Rattus norvegicus: one gene and its partners. The protein of the gene in region 1 interacts with the protein of each later gene in a pairwise test. Links are inferred from orthologs where the notes say so. Each region holds a gene or a part of one and is shown on either strand. Other genes may lie near its edges.

The links.
Region 2: the proteins of Exoc1 (region 1) and Cdc5l interact in a two-hybrid assay, tested with the Homo sapiens proteins (2 studies listed by BioGRID and IntAct). The link is inferred for Rattus norvegicus from reciprocal best matches to the Homo sapiens genes EXOC1 and CDC5L.
Region 3: the proteins of Exoc1 (region 1) and Sh3bp5 interact in a two-hybrid assay, tested with the Homo sapiens proteins (2 studies listed by BioGRID and IntAct). The link is inferred for Rattus norvegicus from reciprocal best matches to the Homo sapiens genes EXOC1 and SH3BP5.

What each region holds. Positions count from the first base shown.
Region 1 is NC_086032.1:31,978,584-31,983,919, reverse strand, and holds part of Exoc1 (exocyst complex component 1), read left to right. Parts: intron 1-609; coding exon of another isoform or gene 610-654; intron 655-1,771; coding exon 1,772-1,935; intron 1,936-2,443; coding exon 2,444-2,551; intron 2,552-4,124; coding exon 4,125-4,201; intron 4,202-5,052; coding exon 5,053-5,281; intron 5,282-5,336.
Region 2 is NC_086027.1:23,064,748-23,070,083, forward strand, and holds part of Cdc5l (cell division cycle 5-like protein), read left to right. Parts: intron 1-164; coding exon 165-268; intron 269-2,005; coding exon 2,006-2,167; intron 2,168-2,729; coding exon 2,730-2,857; intron 2,858-4,075; coding exon 4,076-4,175; intron 4,176-5,336.
Region 3 is NC_086034.1:6,601,525-6,606,860, reverse strand, and holds part of Sh3bp5 (SH3 domain-binding protein 5), read left to right. Parts: exon of another isoform or gene 1-120; intron 121-2,770; exon of another isoform or gene 2,771-3,038; intron 3,039-3,577; coding exon 3,578-3,742; intron 3,743-4,364; coding exon of another isoform or gene 4,365-4,457; intron 4,458-5,336. UniProt on the Homo sapiens protein: Functions as a guanine nucleotide exchange factor (GEF) with specificity for RAB11A and RAB25. Inhibits the auto- and transphosphorylation activity of BTK. Plays a negative regulatory role in BTK-related cytoplasmic signaling in B-cells.

The DNA of each region.
Region 1 (5,336 bases):
AGTCTTCCACAGAGCTCCTGATTGCTGTTTTCCCACTTTTCAGCCTTCTGTTCATAGGCTACTCACCAAGAAATCAGCGTGACATTTGACTTTAATTATAAAACTGTCTTAAAGCCCCACTGACATAATCTTGAACAGATAGAGTAAAAGATTAGTGTGCTGAAGATGTCCTTCCGGGGCTTTCAGAGTACAATTGCTGTGTCAAAGCTACCCCTTCATTCCGTACTGTATTAAATTACTTGAACTTCATTTTTCTCAGGAAACAAAACCTTATGAACTCATTCTTTTAAACATAAGTGTACCAACTTCCTAAACTAAAACAATAATCCCATACATTTAAAAGGTTGGGGGAGAGGACTTAAACCCTGATATTTTACTTGGAAAAATATGAGTAGAAGTCCCACATTTAAGGTCTGTAAAACTTCTCATACTTTCTCAATAGTCACTGAGTAACTACACACGTGTTTGCACTTCCTGTTAGTCAGTTCTCATGGTTCTTTGCATGTGTCTTTTAAACTAGAGCTTTAACTGCCTGTTGTGCATGGTTTGTGCAAATTGCGTTTATTAACTTGTCTTTGTCTTTGATGCTTGCAACCTAATCCATCACAGCTACACTGCCTCGAAAAGAAAGTGCTGTCAAACAGGAGACAGAGAGTGAGTATGCGTACCATGCTGGGAGGCTCTCAGTGCATGGTGTTACTGTCTAGATGCTAGCTGTTTGTCTTGAGAAACATTAACAGCAGATACGTTCATTGCACCGAATCGCCAGGTATTGGAAAAAGAAACCCAGCATGGTGGTTGTCTGTACATCCAAGAAATAAGTGACGTGGTTACAGTTACACAGTGAGGAGTGAAAGCTTTGTTGTCAGAAATGTATGGAAAACCTTAACACCGCACTTCTGTTACAGGTTATGTTTAGAAGAGTCTAACTGTTACTGGAGGGAGGGCTCAGCAGCTGAGAGCACTCGGGTCGGGAGGCTCACAACCCCTGTAACTCCAGCTCCAGGGGATCCCATACCTCTGGCTTCTGCCCACACCCACACGCGCGCGCGCACACACACACACACACACACACACACACACACACACGCACATTAAAGGGATCTGGTAGTGGTTTGTATACTGAGGCCAAAGCTGGAATTGCCCCTGTTATAACTATTTTCCCTTTCTGCCATTACTAAATGGTGTAAATTAACTGAGTCAAGAACTACGGGCTTTCCAAGTGTCTTACTGTCTACATTCTGAGTCCAAACATTATATGTTCTTCTAAGAAGGAGCCATTAGTTCCTTAGTGTGGGTTTCTAGACTCAGGAACATATTAAATTTAATAATAAATGATGGACTTTGATGGGAAATTTGTCAAGAAGTGATAGTGTGGGTCACCTTAATGAACTGCTGTTTAAGACAGACAGTTACTACTCAGCTTTGGGTTTTCTTAGGAATGTCACAAGGTCGGGTCAGCTGCAGTGTTAGCACAGTCCTCAGTGACCCTCATCGGTGCCCCATCTGCTTTGGCTTAGAGAGCACCATAGCTTTACCTTCAGGGCAGGATCCAGTCAGTAAGGTCCTTTCCATCCTGGTCCATAGCTGCATGCAGCTTTCCTTACAGTGTTCTCTGCAGCAGGACCTGGTGTTAAGGAACAGCAAGGACTCTGTAGAAGATGTAGTAGAATCTGAGTCCTGGAGGACAATACTCTAGAAGGTAGCCCCGAGGCAGATTATAGGTCTTTTCTTCATGAGACACAACCTTCAAAGTTCTGTTGTTTCTTAGGTCTCCATGGAAGCTCTGGGAAACTCACTGGATCAACTTCTAGTCTGAATAAACTCAGTGTTCAGAGCTCGGGCAGTCGCAGGTCCCAGTCATCCTCCCTGCTGGACATGGGGAACATGTCCGCTTCTGACCTCGATGTGGCCGACAGAACCAAATTTGATAAGGTAAAATAACAGGCAGTTCTTAACATTAACACTGTGATCGCCTGAAGTGTTTTCAGAGATGCAGGCCTTGTCCTTCCAATTCTGGGTTGGATCTGAAAAATCCCAGTCCAAAGGGCAACTAAAATTTGATTTATCAATTCAGTAACATAAAAGAGTCATTGGCATTTACTTGTTAGAAATATGATGTGTAAATAAAGTCACACCTAAGTTGTTTGAAGAATGACAGAATCCAGAGTTTGAAGAAATGGCCTCACTGTCGGCTGCCATGGTACAGGTAATTTTCAAAGTGTGTCTTCCTCCTCCCAGATCTGAACTGAGGAACTGTGAGTTTTCTTTTCAGTGTGTTTCACTCCAATATTGAATTACTCTGTCAGTCTTGGGAGCGTTGTCTGTGGCACACTGGGGGATCCTAGACTGGGAGATGATCCGGAGTGAATAAACGTGCAGTGTTGTCAGGAGCTCAGAGCTCCGGGCCGTGCTGTGACCGTCAGTGGTTTGCTTTCTGCAGATCTTTGAGCAGGTGCTGAGCGAGCTGGAGCCGCTGTGTCTGGCAGAGCAGGACTTCATAAGTAAATTTTTCAAACTACAGCAACATCAAAACCTGTCTGCGTCAATGGTATGGCTTACATTTAACTGGACAGTATTTATAGTCTAATATAGTTAGCCTAGTTACTTTTGTATTCTGCACTCACAGTTTTGATATCCAAACAGGAAAGGGAAGGCTATCCAATAAGTCAATCTTTAAAGTATTTGTTATTCACAAAATACAGAAAGCAGGAAGGTAGTTGGTTTCAGATTTCTAGGATTCCAGAATTCTTAAGCTGACAACCTCTAAATTAATAAGACAGGAAATGTCTGCATTTATTCTGTAGAGAACTTCATTCAAAAAGCCATTTTAATTGGGGTGTGGTAGCTTGTCTATAATCCGAGCACTTGGGAAGCTTAGTAGGAAGACTGCATGAGTTCCAGGCTGGCCTAGGACACAGAGTATAAGACCTAAAACACCAAAAGTCCTAAAAATTTTAATATTTTGCTGTTCTCAAAGAAAAGCTCTGACCTAAGAGATAATGACACAGAGGGTCAGGGGCCTTAGCTTGGAGTCTGGACACTGTGGGTGCTGCCCGTCCCCAGTCGCTATTAGTGTGGTGCAGATGCACTGCCTGTGGACATGAGAATGGATGAGAGGACTGGAGCCAGTTTTGAAGAATCAAACCACACAGGGAGCTGCGCCCTAAGGCATGAGAAACTCCGCTGCGGGGTAGGAGTGCCGTAAACTTCTCACACAGCTTCAGAAAGGATTCATGACAGCGTTTAGATACTTATATTTATTGTAGGTATTGTGTATTATTTTGCCTGCATGTATGTGTGTGTCCTGCATGTAGAGGAAGCCAGAAGAGGGCGTAGTATGCTTAGGAACTGGAGTTGCAGGTGGCTTTGATGAGCTGTCATAGGGATGTGGGAATCCAACCTGGGTCCTTTGGAAGAGCAGCCAGTGCTTCTAACTACTGAACCGGCTTCTAACCCGACAGCATTTTCAGAGCTGAATTCTCATTCTAAAGTTGTTGGATGTTTTCCTCTGTGTGTGTGTGTGTGTGCGCGCGTGTGTGTGTACGCGTGCACGCGTGCATCTGGCCTCATGCACTTTCTCTTCCTCTTCACAGCCATAGTGTACACATATACAACTACAACTTTTTACCTTATAGTACTTCTCAGGGTTGGGGTGCAGGGGTCTAAAAGCAGGCTGAATAAGATGGGTCATTGCTGAGCAAACCTGTGGACCTGAGTTTTATTCCTGGAACCTACAGAAGAGTGAAGTATATAAGAACAGACTCGGGGCTGGGGATTTAGCTCAGTGGTAGAGCGCTTACCTAGGAAGCGCAAGGCCCTGGGTTCGGTCCCCAGCTCCGAAAAAAAGAACCCAAAAAAAAAAAAAAGAACAGACTCCATCACAGTCTTCTGCCCTCCACACATGCACTGTGTCACTTCCCTGCACACATAGTTAACAAACTGTTAAAATCTAAGAACAATGTATTTCATGAAATTTTCTTAAACATACAATATTAAGTTACTTTAATAGTAATAAAATATTACTATTTTCTAGAATATATTTTCTTGTAGGTGTTTTTAAAAGTAGCCTTTTGATATATAAACTTGTCACTGTGTTGGTCTTATGTGTGAGTATTTTTCAGGCTGAAGCAGAAGACCTGGATGGAGGCTCATTATCACGGCCACAGAGTTCTGGCTCCCTGCTGCCTGTGTCCTCTGAGTATGTATTTATTACTCTGCATGTCTGGAAAACATAAACTTTGAGACATAAGGAAGTGCTTCTCATTAATTTCTGGTTACCTGCTGGTCCCCACACAGACCTGTGTGCGATCCTGGTTATCCTTCTGTTGGTGTGGTGAGGGAAACACTGATAGAAGCACGAGTTGATCTTGGCCTGCAGTTCAGGTGGAGAAATCAAGGCAGCAGGAACTTGAAGCCTGTGGTCATGTGCCATCCCTTGTCAGGAAGAGCAGAGCAATGAATGCCTGTGTTTAGCTCTCTTTTTCCTTTTTATACAGTCCAGAATCCAGCCCAGGGAATGGTGCCACCCATAGTAGGAAGATTTTCCTACATCAAATAACAAAGTCAAGACAATGTTCCCCCCCCACCCCGCGCATGTCCAGAAGCAGTGTAGCATAGGTAATCTTTCACAGTTATAAATGAATGCTTGTCTCCTGGGTAATTCTAGGTCCTGTTGGGTTGACAATGGGCACATGTGCTAAGGGCTTGTGAACTCCTCTGTCTGGTAATCATAGGTGGATTTGTCAGTGCTAGTGTTTGCTGCGAGAAAGTAACCTTCAAACTGTAGTGTGGACTTCTTAGCAATAGAAAAGCATAGTTTAGTGCCCAGCTTTGGAAATTGAAGCAAAGCTAATCAGAATGATAAAACTTAACTTTGGTCGGCCAGTTTTATATTCAAAACTGCTAAAGAATGATTCATTATAGTTTGATACTTTTACTTGTAGTGCCAATGTTTAGCTGTGTTTTTATATAGTACATTACAGTCACAGTTAAAGGTGAATTCAGCCAAAGTTTATACTAACTATATGTTTTTTCATACTTCCTGAACAGGAAAGATATGATTCGCCAAATGATGATCAAAATATTCCGTTGCATTGAACCAGAGCTGAACAACCTCATTGCATTAGGAGACAAAGTTGATAGCTTTAACTCCCTGTACATGCTTGTCAAGATGAGCCACCACGTGTGGACGGCGCAGAACGTGGACCCAGCCTCTTTCCTAAGCACTACATTAGGAAACGTTTTGGTGACTGTGAAGAGGAACTTTGACAAATGCATTGTAAGTTGTAAAAATCAACCCAAGAACAAGTCCTGCAGTGTGGCTAATTCATTTA
Region 2 (5,336 bases), on another chromosome or scaffold:
AGTACATGTTCTTAACCACTGAATAATAAAGTTTCCATGCCTTTTTTATTTTTTTAACGATCGTGTGCCTCTCTCTACAGGACCTCTGCGGGGACTAACTTAAGTTTTGTCTTTTCTCATTTAGAGGCTTGTGACTGAATGCATTCTCTTTGGTAACTCTCTAGGATGAAATTCTTAAAGCAGCGGTAATGAAATATGGGAAAAACCAGTGGTCTAGGATTGCCTCATTGCTGCATAGGAAATCGGCAAAGCAGTGCAAAGCCAGATGGTATGTATGTACCAGTCAGTCCAGGGGAAAGCAGTGTGATCCGGATCCCCACTGTGATGAGGGAGCTGGCTCTTTGACCCCCTCTATTCCCCTAAAGCATGAACTGTGATATGGAGGGAAGTATGGAAAGAGGGGCCTTTAGATGTACTTACCACTTGCTTCCTGTGTCTTGAGCAAACCATTTTTCCTCCTCTTTACCCTGCCTGTTTTCTCACAACTTAGCACTAATTGATCAGTTGTGAATCCTTGTCCAAGTGAGTTAATGTATTTATTTGAGAGTGCCTTGTGAGACACAATACAAAATCTTAGGTAGCTGGGCCTCAGTTCATTGAATAAGTTGTGGTCTAAAAGTTTATAAATTGGTTATTTTAGGACTTACTTTCCCAAAGAAATAAATGCTAAACAGTGCTTTTTTTTTTTTTTTAAAGGCCAGGTCACAGTGGTTAGCTTCCTTTTAATAGGGCAGCAATATTGCATATTTGCTATACTAAAATGCAACATTCTACTTATGTGTTACCTTGTTAAGTCACAGAGTGGTGGTCATGAGCAGTGTCCTGGACTTGGATGAACCATCTCGGCTGCAGCCCATATGCTATGAGGAGCAGGATTTGGATTGTGTGAAGTGACCCAGATTCTGATGGTGGGAAGGGTCAGATGCAGAGCAGAAGGAAGGGGGCTCTCAGGCTGCAGTAGTTTGATTCACTTTCTCTTAGTGACTGTAAGCCTTAAGCTTCAGCCTAGCTGGAGCACCAGTGGCAGTGAGGACTTAGACATGTGGACAGGTTCTCACCCAGCTAACCACCTCATGGACAAGGCAGACTGAGACGTTAGAAGACGGACAGTGTCTTCTACTTTAAACTTAAAAGTACAGCACATGGAAGCACACAGCTCTGGAACATTAAACAGTGGGTTTAAGTGGACGTTTAGAGAAGTAAGTGAAGATGCTGTGGGACTCAAACATAAGGATGTACAGTGAAATTGTAATATAAATAATACAAGGTGCTATTTTTTCCAGGTACTTTTAGCAGTTCAGAAAATCTAAGAACAAGTGCTGGGTATGGTGATGCACATCTGTAATCCCATCATGGAATGCAGAGGCAGGCAGATGTCTGAATGCTAGGCCAGCCTGGTCTACAGATGGAGTTCTAGGACAGACAATGGTACACAGAGAAACCCTATCTCAAAAAACCAGAAAACCCAAAACAAAACAACACAATTACCACAAAAAACAAACCAAATAGACATAAAACAAAAGACGGTTAAACAAATAAAAATAAGTACTAGTTAAAAAAAAAAGAAGTTCCATGATTGCATCTTGGACTTTAGTTTGTTAGAGTTTTAAGTCTCACTAGTCTTTTTTTTTTTTTTTTTTTAAAGATTTATTCATTTATTATATATGAGTACACTGTAGCTGTTTTCAGATACACCAGAAGAGGGCATCAGATCTCTTTACAGATGGTTGTGAGCCACCATGTGGTTGCTGGGAATTGAACTCAGGACCTCTGGAAGAGTAGTCGGGTGCTCTTAACCACTGAGCCATCTCTCCAGCCCAAGTCTCACTAGTCTCACTAGTCTTATATACTGAACATACATTGTAATGTGAAGAGGGGCAGATGAGTTAGTTCAGCTTCACAGTGAGTTCTCTTGTCAGCATAGTGTTAGTGATTGAAGGATGAGAGCATGTGGTCTTAGAGTCGGTACATGGAGTACTAATGTTTGATATGTTGTCTTTAACAGGTACGAATGGCTGGACCCAAGTATTAAGAAAACTGAATGGTCCAGAGAAGAGGAAGAAAAGCTCTTGCACTTGGCCAAGCTGATGCCAACGCAGTGGAGGACCATTGCTCCAATCATAGGAAGGACAGCAGCCCAGTGCTTGGAGCACTATGAATTCCTCCTGTGAGTGGGCCTCAGAGTGTCCTGAAGGCTGTGTTATGTTAACCTGCTGAACAAGCTTAGAGCATTTCCAGCTTAGTTGTGCCTGTGACTAAAGCCAGAGAAACCAAAGTCACTGAATTCTGTATTCCAGATGTCGAATGGTTGAGCAAAATGATGTTTTCCGCCTCTCCTGTAGAAGGGTAGTTTACAAAATGTGCTAGTCACACTCAGGAAAGTGTGAGTGTGAGTGTGAGTGGGTGCATGAGGCCCCATCACCAACGCAGCGCTGCTGAGAGCTTATTAGGACTTTGTCGTTCTGTTCCAGGAGTGTATTTGTCTGGATGTTCTGTATTTGTGAGGAATGGCTGCTTGTTTCCTCATGAGTGGAAATACTGAAATTAGAGAATTGTAATGTCCCTTTTATTCTCATGAAGCAGTTGTAAAGATGCTGTTTTCCATAACACTCATCTGTTGGTTATTTTGGGAAAGAAAGGAGTGCCAGAGCCAGAACCTTGGTAATTCTCATACTAAATGGGGTGATGCTGTGACTGACTCATCTGGGGTTTGTTTTTTTCCCTCCAAGGGACAAAACTGCCCAAAGGGACAATGAAGAGGAAACAACAGATGACCCCCGAAAACTTAAGCCTGGAGAGATAGATCCAAATCCAGAAACCAAACCAGCCCGGCCTGATCCAATTGACATGGATGAGGGTGAGTGGATGCTGGGAAGAATTTCTGCTCACAACATGTGACTCAGGCCTTCCTCACACTCTTCTTAGTTTCTCCTGAACTCCTGATGTTTAGAATCCCAGTTCTGTCAGTGGTTATTCTAGGTATCTCCCCAAATGTGTCTGGTTTTTTGATGATACCCTTTATTTTCTCTTTCTTCATTTCATTTAATGAATTGATCAGTGTAGTAGTCAGATGTGCCAGAAGTGGGTGATGAGGCTCGCAGGATCCTGTCTCTCGTTCCTTTTCTAGAAGGAGAGACAACAAGCTAGCATATTGGACTTTGCTGTTTTTTTGACTTTAGGGTGATTTACTCTCTAGGAAAGGACTGGTCTTCAAGAGCTATGCTGGAGACTGACAGTGATTCTGTAACACATCGAGTCAAGAGTCCGGGATTGGCCTTTGGGTCCATCTCTGCTATTTACTAGCTGTTTGACCTTAGCTAAGTCATGTAGGCTCTTTGAACTTGAGAATAATACCTCCTTTACCTTTTTTTGGGTACGTGGTAGTTTAAAGATGAAAAGATTTAAAACCTGAATGCAGTGGCTCCCAAGAGTGACGAGTATGTGACTATGAGGCTGTTACATCCTTTCCACTTGGGGAACTTTTAAAGCTGTAGGCACCAGGTCCTCCCCTGAGGAAACTGAGTTGGTAATTCTTACTGAGGGAAGAGAGAGGACTATGATCTGAGTGGAGTCTTAAGTCTTGTCCATCATTATGAGACTGCTTTTGTTGTTTTGTTGGGGAGAGCTGTAGAAAATGTCTTGGAGAAAAAACAATTCTGAGGGGAAAAATGTCTGAAGGTTATCAGTTCCCCATGATTAGTTGCTGCATTATTTCTCTGCTGGTGAAGTGTCATTTTGTTGGTGTTACGGATGCTATTGTAGTAGAGCTTTCTGTGAGCAAATACTTGATCCTTGCTTGATATACTTCATTTTTCTTAGCTCTTAGCATCTCTGAAGTAGACATTCTTATTCTGATTTTAATGGGAAACATTTTCACAGAGGTAAATATGGCACGAGGCCTACATAACGAGCAAGTTAATGATGGGATGATTTGTAACCTTTCTCTGACTTGACAAGTTTTCTGTGCCCTGTACCAGTAGTGAGTATATTTATGCTTTTGTCATTGTAAGCACTGGGATATGCCTGACTGCTGTTGTTGGAGAGGAACTTATTTTTCTTGTCTTTATTTTCGCAGATGAACTTGAGATGCTTTCTGAGGCTCGAGCCCGTTTGGCCAATACTCAAGGAAAGAAGGCTAAGAGGAAAGCAAGAGAAAAGCAGTTGGAAGAAGCAAGGCATGTTTTCTTTTCATTCTATGTACAGTAATTGGTTATGCGTCCTTAGGTTCAGGCAACTGTATGGTTATCTGCTCTAGTTGGTAACTAGTCTGAACTGATCAATTCCCATTTTGCTGTTACTCCTTAGTGCCTTTATTGTTCTGGAACATCTGGAACAAACAAAAACAACTTCTGTATTTTCTCCCTAACCATTTCAGAATAGTTATAGGAAAAATACACTTAAAAAGTTTACAAAGCATGGCAGAAATTACGGGCAAATACTTGACCCAGCATGCTGTGTTTGATCTCTTGTAGCATTGTGGCTTCAGGTGGCTTTCACATGATTGTCAGTTTCCAGCTCCTCATCCTCTTGGTCAGTGTTGGGCAGGACTCCCAGCTGATCCTAGAGGGACTTAAAGTTAATGAGCCTTGAGCCAAAGTCTAGGCTGTCGGAGAAATCGTCACTTAAAAAGCGAGCGAACTGTATTAGGCATTGTTCTTTGCTTAGGCCTTCCCCCACCTTCTCCTTGCTTCCTTTTGGTTGAATTTATATCATTCTGATGCCCAGAAGCTAAGATAAAGTTGGTAAAGATACCATCTGAACTGTGTGGCAGTTGGTGGGATTCAGGTATTGATAAACTCCCTACCCCACAGTCTACCTAGAGCCTTTTTTGGCTCCTGTGCTGTCTAGAACTTGCTTTTTGACCTAGTGGGTAGCTAGCACTGTGTTGGTATTCCCAGTGCTGGATCCTGGGATGGAGGATGCTTTTGGCATAGTAGCTGGCCATTCATTAGTGTAGGAGTAGTCAGAGTGATACACATAGAGAACTATCCTATCTAAGAGAAGGTGCTATGTTTTCTTCATATCCAGCTACTTTTCTGTTCTGTATACTCTTGAGGGTTAAGTAATGTTTTAGGACGTGACTGATACACTAGCATATGCTTTAGTTAGAGTCACTTAGCATGAAGAAGGGAGTGTTCTCTAATGTGTTAGTCTTGGTTCCTCTTATTTTAAAGAATGAAATTTACTTTTGGAACACATCCTTCAAGACTTCTCTTTCATTGTAGATGTTTGTTTATGTGTCTGTAAACTCGTTACCATAGAGACCTAATTGGATCACTCTGTAGTCACATCTTACACAGTTATTTGTTAATCTTTCTGAGGTTCCCTTGTAACTG
Region 3 (5,336 bases), on another chromosome or scaffold:
GTGTCTAACGGGACCTTTAAAAATTTAAGTGGGATTTGACTCATCTTTGTAGTCCGTACTTCAGGAGGGCGAGGCAGGAGGATTGCCTTGAGTTTGAGCCCAACCTCAAAGAAGCTATCTCAAAAATTAGATAGAGGGGCTGAGGATTTAGCTCAGTGGTAGAGCGCTTACCTAGGAAGCACAAGGCCCTGGGTTCGGTCCCCAGCTCCGAAAAAAAGAACCAAAAAAAAAAAAAAATTAGATAGATAGATAGATGATAGATAGATAGATAGATAATAGACAGACAGACTAGATATAGATAGATAGATAGATAGATAGATAGATAGATAGATGATAGACAGACAGACTAGATATAGATAGATAGATAGATAGATAGATAGATAGATAGATAGATAACAGACAGACTAGATATAGATAGATAGATAGATAGATAGATAGATAGATAGATAGATAACAGACAGACTAGAGATAGATAGATAGATAGATAATAGACAGACAGACTAGAGATAGATAGATAAATAGATAGATAGATAACAGACAGACAGACTAAAGATAGATAGATAGATAGATAGATAGATAGATAGATAGATAGATAGATAGATAGATAGATAGATAGCAAATGAAAGAAGGGACAGAGAGATCGCGTTTTAGAAAATGTTAGGGTCCCAGGGGATGAGCCCGTGTCTCAGAGCTGTGGAGAAGCCGCAGGTAGACTGAGGTTGGAGGGATGGATCACAATTCATCTCCCTTAAACCTGTCCAGATTTACTCTTCTTGGACCCGTCTGGAAAGATGGAGGCCCCAGACTGTTCTTGTGGCAGAAGTAAGAATGGGCAGGGGGCTCAGCTGGAGAGAGAGTCGGGTTGTCAGTGCCAGACAGTTACTTCTCAGTGGCTGATCGGTTCTAGAGAGGGTGGGCATCCCCATCCCTATGTGTGGTTCCTGCTACCTCAGTGGATGTAGATGGCTGGTAGGGGGCATTCATTGAGGCTGTTTTATTTTTATTATTATTATTATTATTATTATTATTATTATTATTATTATTATTGAGGCACGATTTTGCTGTATAGCCCAGGCTGGCTTTTTTAAATGCTCCTTTCCAGTCATTATCAGATTTCCTACAGACCCTGTCTCATGGTCCATCTTTGGAGTCTGACCTCAGGCGCTCCCCTTGACCTCCCTCCATCATCCTGAGTTGCAGCTCCTGCCTGCCCTTCAGGTCTCTCTTTAGGAAAACTTTGCTGGGTTTCCTCTTATGTGAAGCAAGTCCAATTCTCCTGCCCTGCACATAGCCTTGCACATAGCTTTCTGCACATCAGCTACATGTGGGGCGCAGTCCCCTGAGTGGATCTCTGTGGGCTGGAGGGCTGGGACTGTGGCTGTGCACAGACCAGAGTAGCGGATGCCCGTCTCGGGTTACCGTGGGTTACCGGGCTGTTTCTTCCCCCAGGGCTGTGGTGTTCTCAGCTTCTTCGTTTCTTTTCCCCTTAATTTTCTTTGCAAAGTACCCACAGTCTACGTGAAGACTTCCTCTGAGTCATGTGAGACTTTCTCTGGGGAAGGGTGGGGCCCACTTGTTCCCCTCTTAAGTCCCAGGGGCTGTCCTGTGGGTGTCCCACCAGGGTTTTCATAATTGGACTCAGGGAGTGGTACTGGGGCTGATTAGCATGTAGCCATGCCCCGCCCCTGGCCAGACAGGAAATTGGATGTGAGCCCGAGAAGAGAGGTCAGCAGTGTGGCCCCACTGACTGCTTTTAGGGGAGCGTGCTACAGAGCATGTGTGGACATCAGAGGACTGCCTCAGGTGTGGGTCCTCACTGACTACCTTGTTTGAGATAGGATGTGGCTATGTTTCTGCATTCACCACACTAGCCGCCCTGGTCTGTGGGCATCTGGGGGATTCCGCTGTCTCCGCCATCTCCCTCCCGCCCTGGAGCACCAGGTTTCAGAGGCATGCTAATCGGGTCGGCTCTGTGTGGACTCTGGGGACTTAGACTTAGGTCCTCACAAGTGCATAGCAAGCACTTTACCTGGGAGGTGTCATCTTCCCAGCCCTGCATATGATGCAGTCACATCACTCAGCCCACTCTTGAGGGGGGAACACCAACAGCCCTAAAGTAGTAGAGAGTCACCTACGAGGAAACAAACAGATGAGATTGATTTCAGTTTATCTTAGTTTAGTATATCTCACATCTCATCCATCTGAAAAATGGCAATGGGATAACCAACATTTTTCTACTGAGATTTTAAAATGAGGTGGATATTCTTTTGGTGTGTGTGCGCACGCACGTGTGTGGTGCATGTATGTATACTCACATGTGGCATACATGTGAGCATGTATGTACTCATGGCTATGTGTGCACATGTGCTTGTGGGTGAGTGGGAATCAAGAATCTTCCTCAATCAATGGTCCGCTTCAGTTTTTGAGCCCGGAACTCTTCAGCTAGTCTTTCTAACCAGCTTGCTTCAAGAACCGCCGTCCTCATTTTCTGAGCTGGGGCAGCTGCCACACCTCCAGGCGTTTGTGAGCTTTGGAGATCTGAGCCTCCGGTCCTCTCGCATGTGTGGCAAGCACCTCAACTCCTGAGCTCTGTCTAGGCTGTAAGGGATGTTTACATTTTTCGTTAATCACATTTAGATGCTCTGGGGTTACATGTTGGCCTGAGACTTTTTAAAGTGCTGGCAGTGCAAGCATCTGGACCGAGTTCCCAATCCACAGGACCTGCGTAAGAAAGCCAGGCCCAGCAGTAACCCCAGCAACCGAGAGGTGGGTGGATCCCAGGGCTCACAGGCAGCAGCCTAGCCTCACAGGGGACTTCCTGCCAGTGAGAAGCCTTGTCACAGAAAACAAGGCTCCCGAGGAGTGGTCTTCAGTGTTAACGTTAGGTTTCTCCATGTACACACGTCCACGGACATACACGTCCTTGTACGTACATGTCCACGGACATACACAGGCCCGGCATACGCTGTCTGCCGTAGATAGGAGCACAGCTGCTGTGTGCGTTTCCCTTCCTTCTGAAAGCAGGACGTGTGCTCTTGGTAGGCCTGGGCCTGGGTGTCAGTGTGGGCTGAGAGGGCTGCCTGGCAGTGGGCTGCTAGGCTGGCAGTCGTGTACTGGGGTGTTTGCCTGGCCTGGAGCCTTGTTTCTGACCAGCTCTGCAGTCTCAGGAAAAGCTGTTTCCAGCTGCTAGGCCTCATCTGCAGAATGGGGCCTATAACTGTGGTCTCTGGAGCACTCTGGGCTGTGACGTGCAGGGAAGATTCCCAGGACTGCTATGCCCACCTGGGCTTCATTCCTAAGCCAGGGCATCAGAGAAAGGCCTCATTAGCCATTGGCAGCACAGATGCAAGGTCTGTCGAGCTCCAGACTATGGAGGCTGTCTGCTCACCAACCTGGTATTCACTCAGCCATCGGCCTCCTGTAACCCCATCCTGTGCGTGAGGGACTTCCCTGTGCAGCCTCCAAGAGGGAGGCAGAGGTGGATCAAATCCTGGGCCACTCATCTCTGGGGGTGGGGGATGGACCCAGGGACCCCCGGGCTTCACCTCAGGCCTTACAAGACCTTCTCTCTCAACAGGCTCAGCTAGAAGCGCAGAAAGCCACACAGGACTTCCAGAGGGCCACTGAGGTGCTCCGTGCAGCCAAGGAGACAATCTCCCTGGCCGAGCAGCGGCTGCTGGAGGATGACAAGCGCCAGTTTGACTCTGCTTGGCAGGAAATGCTGAATCACGCTACTCAGAGGGTAGGTGTGGCCGTGTGTGCTGGTGCTGGGGACCCAGGCCTACAGGCTGTTCTTTGACTCCACACGAGAGTAGAGGTAGCTTTCTGGGTGGCATAGAACCCTCCTGTACAGGCCATGGACTCTCTGCCTTATGTAGTGTGTTGGCTGGCAGGGCTTTAAGCCACCAGTGACAGGTGGACATAATCTTTCTCTGTATTGCCTTAAATGTGTCCTCAGGTTCATGTGGTCCACCACTGTCTTGGCAGTGGAGTTGGGTTTTCCAGAGGGGCCAGGATGTTCTCCAAGGTTGGCTTCATGACCTCAGAAGGACTGCAGGCCCCAAGTGGAAGCCCAATTAACACTTTTGACCTGCCACTGGGTATATGTTGGTGGTGGGTGAAGTACCCAGACTGGAATAAGTGGGTAGACCCTCAGGAAGGGCCTTCTGGGTGAAGCTTGCGTCTGGGGAGTAGCGCTCTGTAGGCAGGAGCTGGGAGTGGTTGTCATAAGGGCTTTACGTCGCCATTATTTGGCTCTTGACCTGTTCCCACCTTGCTCAGAATTGGAAGTGATATTGTCTGGTCCAGGCAGACTAGTAAACAAAATACTGGCTGACTTCAAAACAGAAATACATCCCTCACAGTTCTGGAAGCCAGGAAGTCCAAAGCCAAGGCTGATGTGTATGCTGTCTGATGAAGACCCGTTTCTGGTCCTCAAAGGGCTCTCTCCTCTTAAGGTAGCAAATGAGCCTTCTCAGACCTTCCTGCCCGTCTGCTTGCCTGCCTGCCTGCCTGCCTGCCTGCCTGCCTGCCTTCCTTCCTTTCTTCCTTCTTTCCTCCCTCCTTCCCTCCTTCCTTCCTTCCTTCCTTCCTTCCTTCCTTCCTTCCTTCCTTCCTTGTGCTTGTGCTAGGGATCGACCCCAGGCCCCTTCACACTGTAGGCAAGCACTCCAACATTGAACCACAGTGGGGCCCCACCCCTCTGGTCCCACAGCATCACTTCCCCAAGGCCCACCTCGATATCCACACTGGGGACATTTCCATTCCAGCAGGTAGAGCCGTGTGCTTGACACTGTGGCATTGGGGTTTACTGGGATCACAGGATCCACTTCCTGCTTCCGATTCGGCTTCCGATTCTTGGTCCCCTTGGCCCTAGCCTGTCCTCCCTGCAAGGCCAGTGTCAAAGCAAGGCTGGGGGTTTGCTGTGGGTCAGGCCAGTGAGCTGCAGCCCCTGGTGGAAGGAAGGCTCAGGCTCAGCTTTGGCTTCAGTGAGTGACAGGAAGACTGTCTGTCTGTGGGGTAGAAACGAGGTCAGGAGTCAGTGCCAGTGGCTGTTCCCTTGTCAGTGTCCCCTGTCACAGTTGCTCAAGTCCTGGGGGATCTGATGATTACAGATGGCCCCGAGTGTTTTTAAATAGAAAAGCGTGACATACAAATGACTTCAGGAGTCAGATCTGACTGGACTTCATACCAGCTCTCCCTGTAGCCGGGGACACATGCCTGTGGCTTGGCTTGGTGGCCTTGAGCCTCCTGCCCTCTAGTGGGTGTGATGCTTGTAGCCCCAGTAAGGCTGAGAAAAGTCTCACTGGGTCAGCTGTAGACAAACCAAAGAGGAG